Linked DNA regions of Danio rerio. Each later gene encodes a partner of the first gene's protein in a complex. Links are inferred from orthologs where the notes say so. Each region holds a gene or a part of one and is shown in the gene's direction. Other genes may lie near its edges.

Region 1 (4,340 bases):
CTTGTTACATGCGCTCTTGTTTAGCATGTTACTTTGAATATTCTGAAATCGCGTGCAAATACGACTTCAAAACAAAAAAAAATTTATTGATTAAACAGGGGAGTACATAATTATACATTAAACAGTATTCAAGAAAATTAACAACAAAAATTAATTATGTACATTAAGTATTTTTCCAGCAATTGGGATGTCTTAAACTTTAGTATTACTCTGTATAGAAGTGAGGGAATCATAAAATTATTTAGATCAATGAAGAATAGTTTACACTTTAATACAGTCAGCATACATTTTGTTTTGCGGATGTGATACTTTCCAAATAAAATAAGATTTTTTTTGTTATTTTGTCCATTTCCCAGAGTTGCAGTCCATAAATAAAACCATTTTATCAGTTATATTGATAAATTTACAATACACTTCAAAAAGTAGTGAGAAAACTTGGGACCAAAGCCGTTTTGTGTAACTGCAACTGAAAAATTAATGAAGAATTGTTTCCAGTTCCATTTTACAAAAACAACACAAAGGTGAAAAACCTTCCTTAAACCTACTAATAAAACCATTGCATGGATAATATCTATGTAATATTTTACAAATAGTTTATTTTACTTTATTGGGAAGTATGTATTTTGTAAAATCTGACCAGAGTTTTGGGGGAAAAGAATGAAGGGAATGCTTGTTTCCATTTAACCATTGCTATTAGAGGAACACTTTTATCTGCAGTCAGGATTTTCCTGATATAATTGTTATTCAGTTTTTTATCCATGATAGAGAGGCCCTTAATAGTAAGCTCTGGAAGAGAGCCAGATACATGGTTATATATTTTTGTGGTTTTAATAAGGTACATTTATTTTAGGGAGATACAATGAACACATTTTTTTTTGTATTTATTCAAAGTATTTTTTTAAACCAAAAGTGTTAATAAATTCACTGTAATTATATAAGTCCCCTACACGATTTCTCAAAACAACATTAGCACTATTAACATCAACACTGTTGGACTACTTTGATAGTCATTGGCTGCGAATATGATTTAACTATTCAGAATTAGCAAACAATACTTTTCTCAAATGATTTTGTTAATATAATTATTATTATAAATCTCTAAATTTGCACTTGTGCCTATATCAAAATCTCACTTCAAACAAAGTACAGCTAAACCTATAGAGAAAAACCTGTTCTGTAGTAAATTGTGACAAAGCCTCGGTCTTCTCCATAAAGTCTTTGCTCAGGTTAATCTATTAATGGAATATGGGTTGTATAATATTTTTAAAAACGTTAAGCATTTTAAAAAGTACATCAGTGTATTCAAATCTTGCTAAATTGGCTTGGAAATGTTTCTGTCAATTCCATTCCTGCGTAAGAGCGCCGCTCGCCCGTGCGCTGCGGCGTGGGGTTTCCCAGGGCAGACTGCAGGGTTACCGCGCCCATCTCCGTCTGATGGCCGGATGAGAGGTGAACTGAACTGGAGAGAAGTGTTCCTTCAAGGAAGGCAACGGGAAGTGGCCACCGACGGACTTATTAGCTGACCAAAGTCTCCAATCGGACATTTATGAGTGCAGCTTTTCCTCGCAGTTGAGATCCCCCCTCGTACAGGCTCATTTCCCGCCCGCCGGAGCGAGTTTTGTCGCTGTGGAAGTGGACTCGGTACTTCTCCCGCTGCTAGTTAGCGAGCTAGCTCGTCTTGTTCGTTGATGCGTGGATTTGACAGCCACACCATCGTTTTTTTCGGTCAATGCCATATAAACAAAGGCCATTTACGACTGAGAACAGGTATGGAACACTATGTGCTTATTTCAAGTGTGTGGAACTGAATGTTTCGTTCTAATCGGGTGAATTTGTTGGATAAAATGCTGGTCACCATAGAGAATGAAGGGGGGTGGGGTGAGGCGCAGGTAGCGGCTAGCCGAGCGATTTACATACACAACAGTGGCAGGCAAATATGCGAAAAACGGTTGTTTTAAACAGTTATCATCGTGTGTGTTTTATTAATGTGAATTTATAGTGCATTTAATCTCTCGCTCGGTCATTATGGCGTGAACTGAGTCGGCCGACTTAACCGGAGGCCGTTTAGTGCGAGTTCGCTTGTTAGCACCCAAAAATCGGCGTTACTTCAGAATTAAACCAATTTAGGTTTGGGGGAATTCAGTAATGTGCTTGATAGGGGCATTTTAATAGCAATTAAGATTGCTTTAAATGTTAAGTTTGGGGGGTTTTGGTTGGAGGCTGGTCTGTAAGCTAACAGGCTAATTACCGGAGCTTCTGCTGGCAAAATATTCGGCTTTTCAGCTCAGCTAGGCCTTCCTCTGTGTTACAGAATCGAGGATTTTTGGTTAGGCAAATGCTGGTTTACACACTCTCGTGTACTACAAGTGAATATTGATCGAAATGCAGTCGGTAAATAAAGATTAGCCATTTATTTGTTCACCCGATCGTCTATTGCAATCTACACCATCTGGCTGTATATTACAAGCCGTCCTAGTGTGTTTTCCCCTACACACATTTACATGGAGATGGATTTATTACGAGTCAGAATGGCGTAATCCGAAATCCCGTGTGCATTTAAGCGACTTAGCTCGTGTTAATGTTTATTGCGTTAAGTGTGCGCTGCTTCTTTTAACTACTCTTTTAAACAACCTAATTGGATTTCATTAAGCCTGTGTTTAAAGGGCCTTTGCTGTTCAGGTATATAGGTGCACTGCCTCTCTTCGCGACATCTCGGTGATGCTCCGCTACGATTCTCGCTGAATTGCTTTTGCTGACGATAAAGAATAAAAGACCTGCTAGATGTGTTTTCTCCTGCGATCGTGTATCAGAGTAATGCAGCAAAGAGCTTTGCAGTTCTTCAGATACGCGAAATGAATGGAGCCGGATGGCCTTTATCATCGCTGCTGGAATATTTTAAGAACGGGCTAGCGGCTCAGTATTGAGGTCACTATTAAGGGATTGGTCGGGGAAATATAGGCTATGGGATAAATATGTTGCGCCCCCTCCTTCTTTTTTCCCCTACCGATCGAGTTTGCCTTTCTCTTCGCTGGCATTTAGATAAAGGAACACCGTTCATGAATAAATAAACGGAATCAATGAATTCTTCAATGTGGGGCCCAAGAACAAGATGGCGTCCGTAGCCTCTCTCTCCGGCTTCCCTCTCCGCACTCATATCAGCATGCCGTTCATTTAACCCGCTGAAACGCCGAAAAAAGCACCGTTTTGCTCTTAAACGAAGCTCGTTGTTTTAAAAACGATTCCAGGAACATATTTTGAAGCTAGAGTTTATCGTTTTTTTTTAAATAAAATGCTCTTTGTGTGGCACCTAAAGCTGCATAACCTCATCCTTTATGACGCGAAATGCAATTGTGAAATATCAAATAGTGTTTCGAGTCCACCGTGACGTGATCGTTCACATTTTGTTGATTTCAACTTGTGCTTCTGGTGCTATAAATGTAGACATTTCTTTGCAGTCATGCACATAAGCTCTCACAATACCCTTTTGTGTTTAGATAATGCACTTTTGTTTGATTTTATTTTAAAACAAAAGCATAATGGATGATTCATTGCATACATTGTTGTTTTTAACTCCCTCCCAGACATCCTGCTTTTTATGCACCTAAGTTGGTTCTTTGCTTATCATGTTTATTATAGTCATTGTTCATGTTTTACTCGGCAGTGTTACATTTGCTGAAGCATTACTTGTAATCCATTTGCATTATACATTGTGCAATCTGCATTGATACACATGCAGTTTTGTAATTGTGGATAACTAAAAGCATCAGATTGATTCGCAGTGGGCACCTCAGAAGCTGATATGTGTATAATTATGATGGAATAATTGAAATCTATTCAGATAATGTAATTCTGAATATCTATTTTGATTTTCAAACTAACGCCCATTTGTTTTCGCAGGTGTTTTAATGCAAGCATGTTGAGATTTGAGCATTTCCATGTAAATGTCAGCCTTGTCATGAAAAAACTAAGCTTCAACCAAAATAACGAAACTGTTTCTACATTTTTGGTGTTGGCAAATACTTTGCAGTGCTTACACTACTCAAAAATCTCTCTGTCAATGTTTTCAAACTATTATATTTGATTTAGCAAAGTCACACAAGTGGCAATTTCACATCTGCCACATCCATAACTTTCATCTCATAAATGCAAAAATCTAAGGTAAAATAAGTCATGTTTGCTCTGTAGAGGAACAACTCTTATCCTTTTAATTAGCATTGTTTCTTTTGGGTTGCTTTGTTTAATTCATAGAATTTCTATAAAGTATGTTGTATACTGCAAACTTGCAGACTTTTTTTTTCATCATCCATAATGCATGTTTACTTTCTTTATTTAAAATCTAA
Region 2 (4,015 bases), on another chromosome or scaffold:
ATATTATAAGTCTCATTTTACAAAAACAATCCTGTTCAATTTTATTGCTAGAATTCTAATTGTCTTAAAACTAAGTATTTTTATTTTTTAGCTTGACCAATTAATAATAAAGCTCTGACAGTATGTGCTATAATTGCTGCTTTGGTATATGTTTCACATTTTTTTTATAGGTTAGGCGTTGATGTAAACTGGAATGATAATGAACCAGCAGCTTTGCTGGACTAGTGTTTTCTTGTGGTAACCTTGGCAACTATGAGTGGGTGGGACTTACAAAACACAATATACAATATTCTAGATGTAAATAGGATCCATTGATTGTCAGGTTGTTTTTATCATGAATCAGTTTGTCTTCGATTATTAGTGTGTATCACTGTGCTATAATAGTACAATATTGCTACAATTTTGTGCAGATACATTGATAAATTGGATTGCCTTGATTTGCTTGTTTATACTGGGTATAGACCAATAGCTAAAGGGTGGAGAGACTCACTTCAAAACATTGATTACCTGTCAGAGAATCATCAATCGTGCATCCTCCACCGATTGCAATTTTCTACCATTTACCATGACTATTGACTGCATCTGATTGTGTATTTTTCCAGCATACACCGGTTATATTCAGGCTTTCCTTTTTAAATCACACCATACTCTTGTCCACGCAGTGGAAATTAGGCTTTTATCAGATCAGTAGGAGGATGTTCCTCAATTTCTATATATGTAAAGTAGGTCTGTTTTCCCCTGGTTGTACACATGACAGTGCAGAGATGTTTTCAAGTGAAGAACATCAAGTCTCTGACTCTTTAGTATCAAATATCACAAGGTAGTTAGTAAGGTATTAATTAACTAGGGGTCACATGTCAGTGGTAACAAAAAAAGGTCTCAAGATGTGCAGATCTTGGTGATTCACATTTCATGTTAGATGTATTAAAAGTTCTTAGCATTTTGTACTGCACCAGAGAGCGCATTCTTCTGTCGATTAAAACCAGTGTGTGTCCACAGGGGAGTAAGAGACCTGTAGAAACCTTCAGCTTTTGTTCTGAATAACTCTTTAATCTCCACAACAGCGTACGTCGAGAGTGGGCGACACGTGAGCTGTGAACTCTGGTAGTGAAGCAGATGAGAGAGAGAGATGTAACAGGCAAAGAGGGAGGGAGCAAAGGAGGGAGTGTGAATGAGGGTGGGGAGAGAGCGTGAGGATGAGAGCTCAGTTCCAGAGTGACTTGCTTTGCCTTTGCCCGCTCAGTTTGAAGACATCAGGAGGCTGAGACCGGAGAGGAACCTTGCAGGCGGGGCTGTACTGGCTACGTATGATTTTTTTTCTTGAGTCTTTCTCCTTCTGCATCTTTCAACGGATTGTAGATTAACTGAAGCAGCGGGACCACATGCAACAGTGTAGAAGCCAAACTCCCACCACTTCTTTTGTGTCTCTATTCAAGAAAAGCTCAGGAAAGAGATGACCTGACAACTTGCGGAGAGTTTTAGAAGAAGAATCATCATAGTTTAGGGCTGCTCGTTTCCGTGGTTTTTCATACCAGTGTCATCAAGAAAATCTTATAAGTTATGACAAAAAGAAAATGGGAGGGGAGGAGAGAAGGCTTCAAGGTAAGCTCCACGAGGGAGGAGGCACAGGGGCCTGGACGCCCCTCCACCAGAGGGCGCTTCTCCGAATCTTGGAAGAGACTGAGCTCCAGACAGGGGTCTACCAAGAGGTCAGGACTGGCCTCCCAGCAAGCTGCGGTAAGAAGTGGAAGAACACTCTACTTTCTTGAATTTAGAGTACGGAGGGTGGGAGCACAGGGAGGGACTGCTGGTGAAAAAGAGGAAGAGCAGAGAATGAAGGCATGGGATCACACAGAGATAGAGAGAGGGGTGCAGGAAAGAGTCTGGCTTAAGCAGGTGGGAATCTAAAGGTCCTCTTCCGCCTCAGAGTATGTGAGTGGAAAGTTTTTAGGATGATGCTTGCAGATACACAGAAAAGCATCAGCAAAAAAAAATAAAAAATGGGTGAAGCTATTGTTGCCTAGATGTGTATCACAATGAGGTGTTCTCCAAAAAAACGTGTGCCAGTTTGGAAGCTTTATTAATGTTGTCTGATGTGAAATGATTTGTTACTTCAGGCCATAGAAAACTCCATGTGCTACATTGGGGAAATCATTTTTTGGTTTTCAGGCATATAGCAATTCCAGCAAGAAAACTTCATCTGTAGTTTATGCTGATTTGGAGTCAATAACAGTTGATTAGCACAGAATGAGGGAAAGCTCAGTGGGTCAGTTGTTGCTAAGCACAAGAGCTTGCCCTGAAGCACGCTCTAAACCATCTGTCACCCAGAGGACTGATTCTTTGACTACTTTTTTGCCAAATCCAGTTGCAAAGTTTGAATTACTTAGCTAGAGGGATAGATTTTGTATTTTATGAAATGTGAGTTAATCCTTTGAGGACATTTACATTTTGAGATATAATATACACAAAAAATATACCCCATATATATGGTTACCTTGGAATTAAAAGGTTCTATCTGCATTCTGAATGATTTTGAGATATTGAGCTTCAAAGTTTTAGCATTCCATATCGCAGACAGTATGTGTGACGTTTGTTTTTTTAAAATAAAAAATCTTAAAATGTAAAAAACTTATAAAAATCATCCCATAATGTAAATAAGTTGTCATTTAATAAGAATATGTCAATTACTCAATTTTGACAAAAATGTCAAATAGAACCTTATAACTCAAAGGTGACGATATATCTAAAAATGTGTTTAATTTTGAGTTACAGAGCAAAGTGACTTACTGTATCATACAGGATTATAAATTTGCTGAATTAACACATATAAAAACATTTACTGGTCTTGTACATACATTTTGATTTTAAAATTAATAGATTTTTTTTGTTATTTGGTTTATTTATTTAATTTTTTTGATGAAAAAAAATAGGCATATTTGCTATAAAGGTACTGTTATCAATTTGTCGGGATAAAGGTTTTGTTGAAATATCAAGAATGATGCAATAATAGAGATTGAGCCGATACAAAAATAACTGACAGTATTTTTTTCTTCCATCATATTAATGTGTATCAATTCATAAATTGTTATACTGTACAATAAATGATGATATGATGTGAAATTCACATAAAGTGATAGGTTCTGTCATAATTTACTCATTATACTTATTTCAAGCCTTTTGGTATTTCTTTCTTTTGTTAAATACAAAAGAAGAAATTTTGAAGAAAGCTGGAAACCTGTAACAATTGACTTCCATAGTATTTGTTTTCCTACCATGGCTTTCAGCATTCTTCAGAATATCTTCTTTTGTGTTCAACAGAAGAAAGAAACCCTTAAAGGTTTGAAATAAGTAAAGAATGAGTAAATTATGACAGAACCTATCCCTTTAAGTGAATTTCACACGTCACATCACCATTTATTGTTCAGTATACCAATGTAAGAATTGATACACAATAATGTGATAAGAGAAAAAATATTGTCCGAAATTTTTCTATCGGCTCTATTATTGAAGTTGCTCTATTATTGCAGAATTACATCATTCTTGCAACTTCAACAAAACCTTCATCTGATGTACAAAACATTCATCTTGATGTTTGTATGTAAAAACAATTAGTTTAAAGATGATCATATATTAGCGTATATCCATGTCCCATATGGCAAGGTTATGTTCGTCTACATTGTATTTGCATTTGAGCAATATATGTATTATATACCCATACAGTAAGTATTTACTATGTGCTTCATGTCTGAACTCTCTTGTGAAATACTACATTAATAATAACAGTATTGTCTTTAAGTGGGAGGAGGTGAGATATTTGTGGTCATGTTGCTATAGAAACGACTCTGCTTTGTGTATCATATGGATTGTTTGTGATTCACACCTTCATCAACTTTAAAACACTTTTTTTTTTAAATAAACTGACAAAATTCATTGTTTCGGAGACTTTGACGTTGAAGTGTAAGCCATTTCAACAAATTTAATAAGAGCCTTTTTGTAAGGCGCCTAATGGAGATCC
Region 3 (4,073 bases), on another chromosome or scaffold:
TGTCTTTTAAGGAGTTGGAAATGATTATCAACTTTTTTATTAGTTCCAGACTGGACTATTGCAACTCTTGTATTTAGGAGTTTTGCCTACTTGAATTGTACGCCGGCCTGCAGCTGCTTCAAAATGTAAATGTTCAAAAAAAGAGGTGGCAGGGCTTTTTCTGTCACTGCCCCTCGTCTGTGGAATGGTCTACCTTTACATATCAGTTCATGCTCTTCCTTGGGCGCTTTTAAGTCTCATTTTAAAAATCACCTTCTGTTTCTTGCTTTTGACTAATTAATTCATTCATTTTCTTTTCGGCTTAGTCCCCTTTATTAATCTGGGGTCGCCACAGTGGATACAGTGGAATGCCAACTTATCTAGCATATATGTTATACACAGCGGATGCCCTTTCAGCCACCACCTAACCCTGGAAAACACCCATACACTCGTGCATTCACACACTTATACAGCCAATTTAGCTTTTTCAATTCACCTATACCACATTTCTTCAGACTGTGGGGGAAACCCACGCCAACACAGGGAGAACATGCAAACTTGACACATGAATGCTAACTGAACCAGCCGGGACTCGAACCAGCAGTCTTCTTGCTGATAGGCAATCGTGCTATACCCACTGCGCCTCCGTGACGCCCTGATTATAATTATAAATATAGAAATATAGATTTTGTTTGTTGGTTGTTTTGTAAAGCACTTTGGTCAACATCTGTTGTTTTTAAATGTGCTTTATAAATCAATCAATCAAACAAACAAACATTTATTATATTTAATTTTATATTTACTGTTAATTTAAATTGTTAAAATATTACAATTTTTGATGGTGTTTTTCTTACAGGATCAGCACTTTTACATACGATTTATTGTTTCATAAGAGGCCCCACATCATGTGTCTATTTTAAAGACCAAAACAACAATCATTGTCAGTCTACTGCTTTTATTTTCACAATTACACAATTTCTCAGAAATAGGAACGAAAAACACGGGAAAGAAAGAAAATTCCTTTGGGCTACATAAAAAAGTATTAAACTGTCTTTCTAAAACGGCGAATGTGCTTCAAAACTAATCCAGCTGTCTACCTAGATGTCCAAGTCATCGCAGCGCATGCCCATTCATGCGTTCTAAAAAGTGCAGTCTACCTAGGCAGCTCAGTGCGTTTTTGAGACGCCGCCCTTGCAGTTGTCTGTAAAGGGAGGAGGGCAGAGCTGCTCTCAAACTCAGCACACTTCCTGCTCTTGCTGTAGTTCCATCAGTCAGTCAGTGAATCCGTGAGTCCGGCAGCGGGAGTGCAGAGGAGGGATGGCGGAGAAGAGCCCTGACCCGAGCGGCTCCAACGGTCGGCGGTGTCCCGCTCCTTCTCCCGGAGAGAGGCTGCAGCCATCCGGAAGCGGCTCTTCCAAATGGGTTCGTCTGAACGTCGGCGGCACCTACTTTCTAACGACGAGGCAAACGCTGTGTAGAGACCCGAAATCTTTCCTGTACCGCCTGTGCCAGGCCGACCCCGACCTCGACTCTGACAAGGTATTCAAACTAGCTTGATTCACTAGCACGACAATGAGCATTATTTTTCGCTTATATTGGCTCTGAGCAGTTCGGTTAAACCGGGGAAACCCGAAATGACGGCTCTGCGGTGTTCCCCTTCGCTATCTTTATGTTTTTGAATATTTTAGCTTAACGGCTAGCTGATAAAGTTACATTAAACGGAGCCCCCCTTACTAGCTTAGCTTAACCGATAACACTTGGTGTAACGTTAACGTTACTGGGTGAAGTCAACATTAGCTGTAGACCTAAAAATATGGTCAAATATGTATATTTGTTCTTGTTTGAGCATTTCGCGTTAAAATGCATAACCGTACTCCAATACCGTTTCTTATAGGAGTAACGGTAACGTACATGTCACGTTCTAACTGATTAAGTTCCACTAGTGTTGATTTAACAAAACCTTAACTCTTTAAAACGATAACATTACCAATGCTTGCTCGAGTAAACATAAAATATTACAAAGATACTTTATACATGTTTTCATTTACCCCACTGTTTAAAAAAAACTGGGATCTTGAGTTACCAAGTCGGACTAAACTATTGAAATAGTGGTCACAGTTTACATCAAGTCTTTACCATTAATTAATACGACCTAGCAATGAGCATATTTATTTAACATTTTATTTTTAAATGTATAATGTGTACCAACAATGAGCTAACAATGCAGCATAATGTTGCCATTAAGATTGTAAATACTGGAATTTGTATTAATTGTTAATTGTATGTAATGCAACACATATTGTTAAATTTACAGAAAGTCCTTGCATTTTTATAATTGCTCATTTCTTCTGACTGCTGGGTTTCTTTTTTTTATCTTTATAATTTTTGTATTGTAATATGTAGTTGGTTTTTGCCATCCATGAACATGTCTTTGGATGTGAATTGGCAATAATGTGAATAACTAATTTATACATAATAATTTAACAGTGGGCATAAAGCATATGTTTAGGAAAAAAAGTTTTGATCTTTTTAATTTAATAATACATAAAGTAAACAAACCAACAAAAAAGTAATATTTGAAGTTCTGTCAAATGATTAATCACATTAAAAAAAAAGTTCAGATTTATAAAATATATGTGCATACTGCCTGTGTTATAACTATGTCATAACTGTTGTGTAAAATATTTGTGTATGCATCTGAATTATTAGCCCCCATGTTTATTTTTTTTCTGTTTAACGGAGATAATTTTTTTCAACACATTTTTAAACATAATAGTTTTAATAACTCATCTCTAATAACTGATTTATTTAATCTTTGCCATGATGACAGTAAATAATTATTGACTAGATATTTTTCAAGACACTTCTATACAGCTTAAAGTGACATTTAAAGGCTGAACTGGGTTAATTAGGTTAACTAGGCAGGTTAGGGTAATTAGGCAAGTTATTGTATAACAATGGTTTGGTCTGTAGACTATTGAAAAAAAAAATGCTTAAAGGGGGTAATAATTTTGTCCCTAAAATGGATTTAAAAAAAATTCAAAACTGCTTTTATTCTAGCCGAAATAAAACAAATAAGACTTTCTCCAGAAAAAAAAAAAATTATCAGACGTACTGTGAAAATTCCCTTGCTCTGTTAAACATCTGTTAGGAAATATTTAAAAAAGAAAAAAAAATTCAAAAGGGGGCTAATAATTCTGACTTCAACTATGTATAATTTTTTTAAATATATTTAATTTGTACTTTGTACAGCATGTGTGTATTTATACATACACAAATATACACACTACACATGCATATATTATGTAAATACGAACTGTTATCTTGTATGCGATTAATAATTTGACAGCACTGAATATTTTACATTCATCTCATAACATTTATTTTTCATTCTTTGTGATGTAAATGTCATTCTTATGAATGCTTTTTTTATTTTTTCCAATTGCAATAATTGGCTTAATCTTTTTAAAAAATAATAATTGATCTGCAAAACAATTAGCACACAAATAAACTGGTTATATATATATATATATATATATATATATATATATATATATATATATATATATATATATATATATATATATATATATATATATATATAAATATATATTTATATTTATATTTATATATATTTTCTTCTTCTTCTTCTTCTTCTTCTTCTTCTTATTATTATTATTATTATTATTATTATTATTATTATTATTATTATTTATTATCCTCCAGCATCAGTGTTTTTAATAAATCCTTCAGTTTCTTCCATGTGTCACAAGAAGAAATGGGGTTGCCTGCATGCCTTTAAACTTTTAAAGGTCACTATGCATCATTTATTAGGGCAACGACATTTGAAAGCCGCTAAATAGACAAAGAATTTCTTCTGTCCAAAAATATTTCTTCCAAATTAATTTCCCTATCACAAGGTTGAATTTGCGTGACTTAACTGTAAAGGTCGCTCTCCTGAACGCTTTAATGCGAGCGTGAACGCTGTGGAATAAAGCTGACTTTTCTGACCTCGGTATCGATCTGTGGTAATGATGTTGTGCTGGAGATGGATCAGCGTCCCTATGGGCTCTGCTGCATGTATGTTAAATGTC

The links.
Region 2: the proteins of gnb1b (region 1) and trpm3 are in contact, whole or in part, in a crystal structure (PDB 6RMV), measured with the Mus musculus proteins. The link is inferred for Danio rerio from reciprocal best matches to the Homo sapiens genes GNB1 and TRPM3. Residues at the interface, in NP_001153488.1 of Mus musculus: Lys57, Tyr59, Trp99, Val100, Met101, Leu117, Tyr145, Gly162, Asp186, Met188, Cys204, Asp228, Asn230, Asp246, Arg314, Trp332; in NP_001349418.1 of Mus musculus: Lys615, Arg616, Lys618, Ala619, Lys621, Leu622, Leu623, Gly624, Met625.
Region 3: the proteins of gnb1b (region 1) and kctd5a are in contact, whole or in part, in a cryo-EM structure (PDB 8U7Z), measured with the Homo sapiens proteins. The link is inferred for Danio rerio from reciprocal best matches to the Homo sapiens genes GNB1 and KCTD5. Residues at the interface, in NP_001269468.1 of Homo sapiens: Arg52, Gly53, Leu55, Lys57, Tyr59, Gln75, Asp76, Gly77, Lys78, Thr87, Asn88, Lys89, Val90, Ala92, Pro94, Leu95, Arg96, Ser97, Ser98, Trp99, Met101, Leu117, Gly131, Asn132, Val133, Arg134, Val135, Thr143, Tyr145, Gly162; in NP_061865.1 of Homo sapiens: Val157, Arg159, Val160, Leu161, Gln162, Cys163, Gln164, Glu166, Glu167, Gln170, Met171, Thr174, Met175, Ser176, Asp177, Trp179, Ser190, Tyr191, Val205, Lys207, Leu209, Glu219, Ser221, Lys223, Ala224, Leu227, Gln228, Arg230, Gly231, Ser232.

What each region holds. Positions count from the first base shown.
Region 1 is NC_133181.1:56,064,997-56,069,336, reverse strand, and holds the start of gnb1b (guanine nucleotide binding protein (G protein), beta polypeptide 1b), read left to right. Parts: upstream 1-1,488; 5' UTR 1,489-1,767; intron 1,768-4,340. UniProt on the Homo sapiens protein: Guanine nucleotide-binding proteins (G proteins) are involved as a modulator or transducer in various transmembrane signaling systems.
Region 2 is NC_133180.1:26,453,486-26,457,500, forward strand, and holds the start of trpm3 (transient receptor potential cation channel subfamily M member 3), read left to right. Parts: upstream 1-1,206; 5' UTR 1,207-1,560; coding exon 1,561-1,737; intron 1,738-4,015. UniProt on the Homo sapiens protein: Constitutively active, non-selective divalent cation-conducting channel that is permeable to Ca(2+), Mn(2+), and Mg(2+), with a high permeability for Ca(2+).
Region 3 is NC_133178.1:44,428,541-44,432,613, reverse strand, and holds the start of kctd5a (BTB/POZ domain-containing protein KCTD5a), read left to right. Parts: upstream 1-1,264; 5' UTR 1,265-1,296; coding exon 1,297-1,518; intron 1,519-4,073. UniProt on the Homo sapiens protein: Its interaction with CUL3 suggests that it may act as a substrate adapter in some E3 ligase complex. Does not affect the function of Kv channel Kv2.1/KCNB1, Kv1.2/KCNA2, Kv4.2/KCND2 and Kv3.4/KCNC4.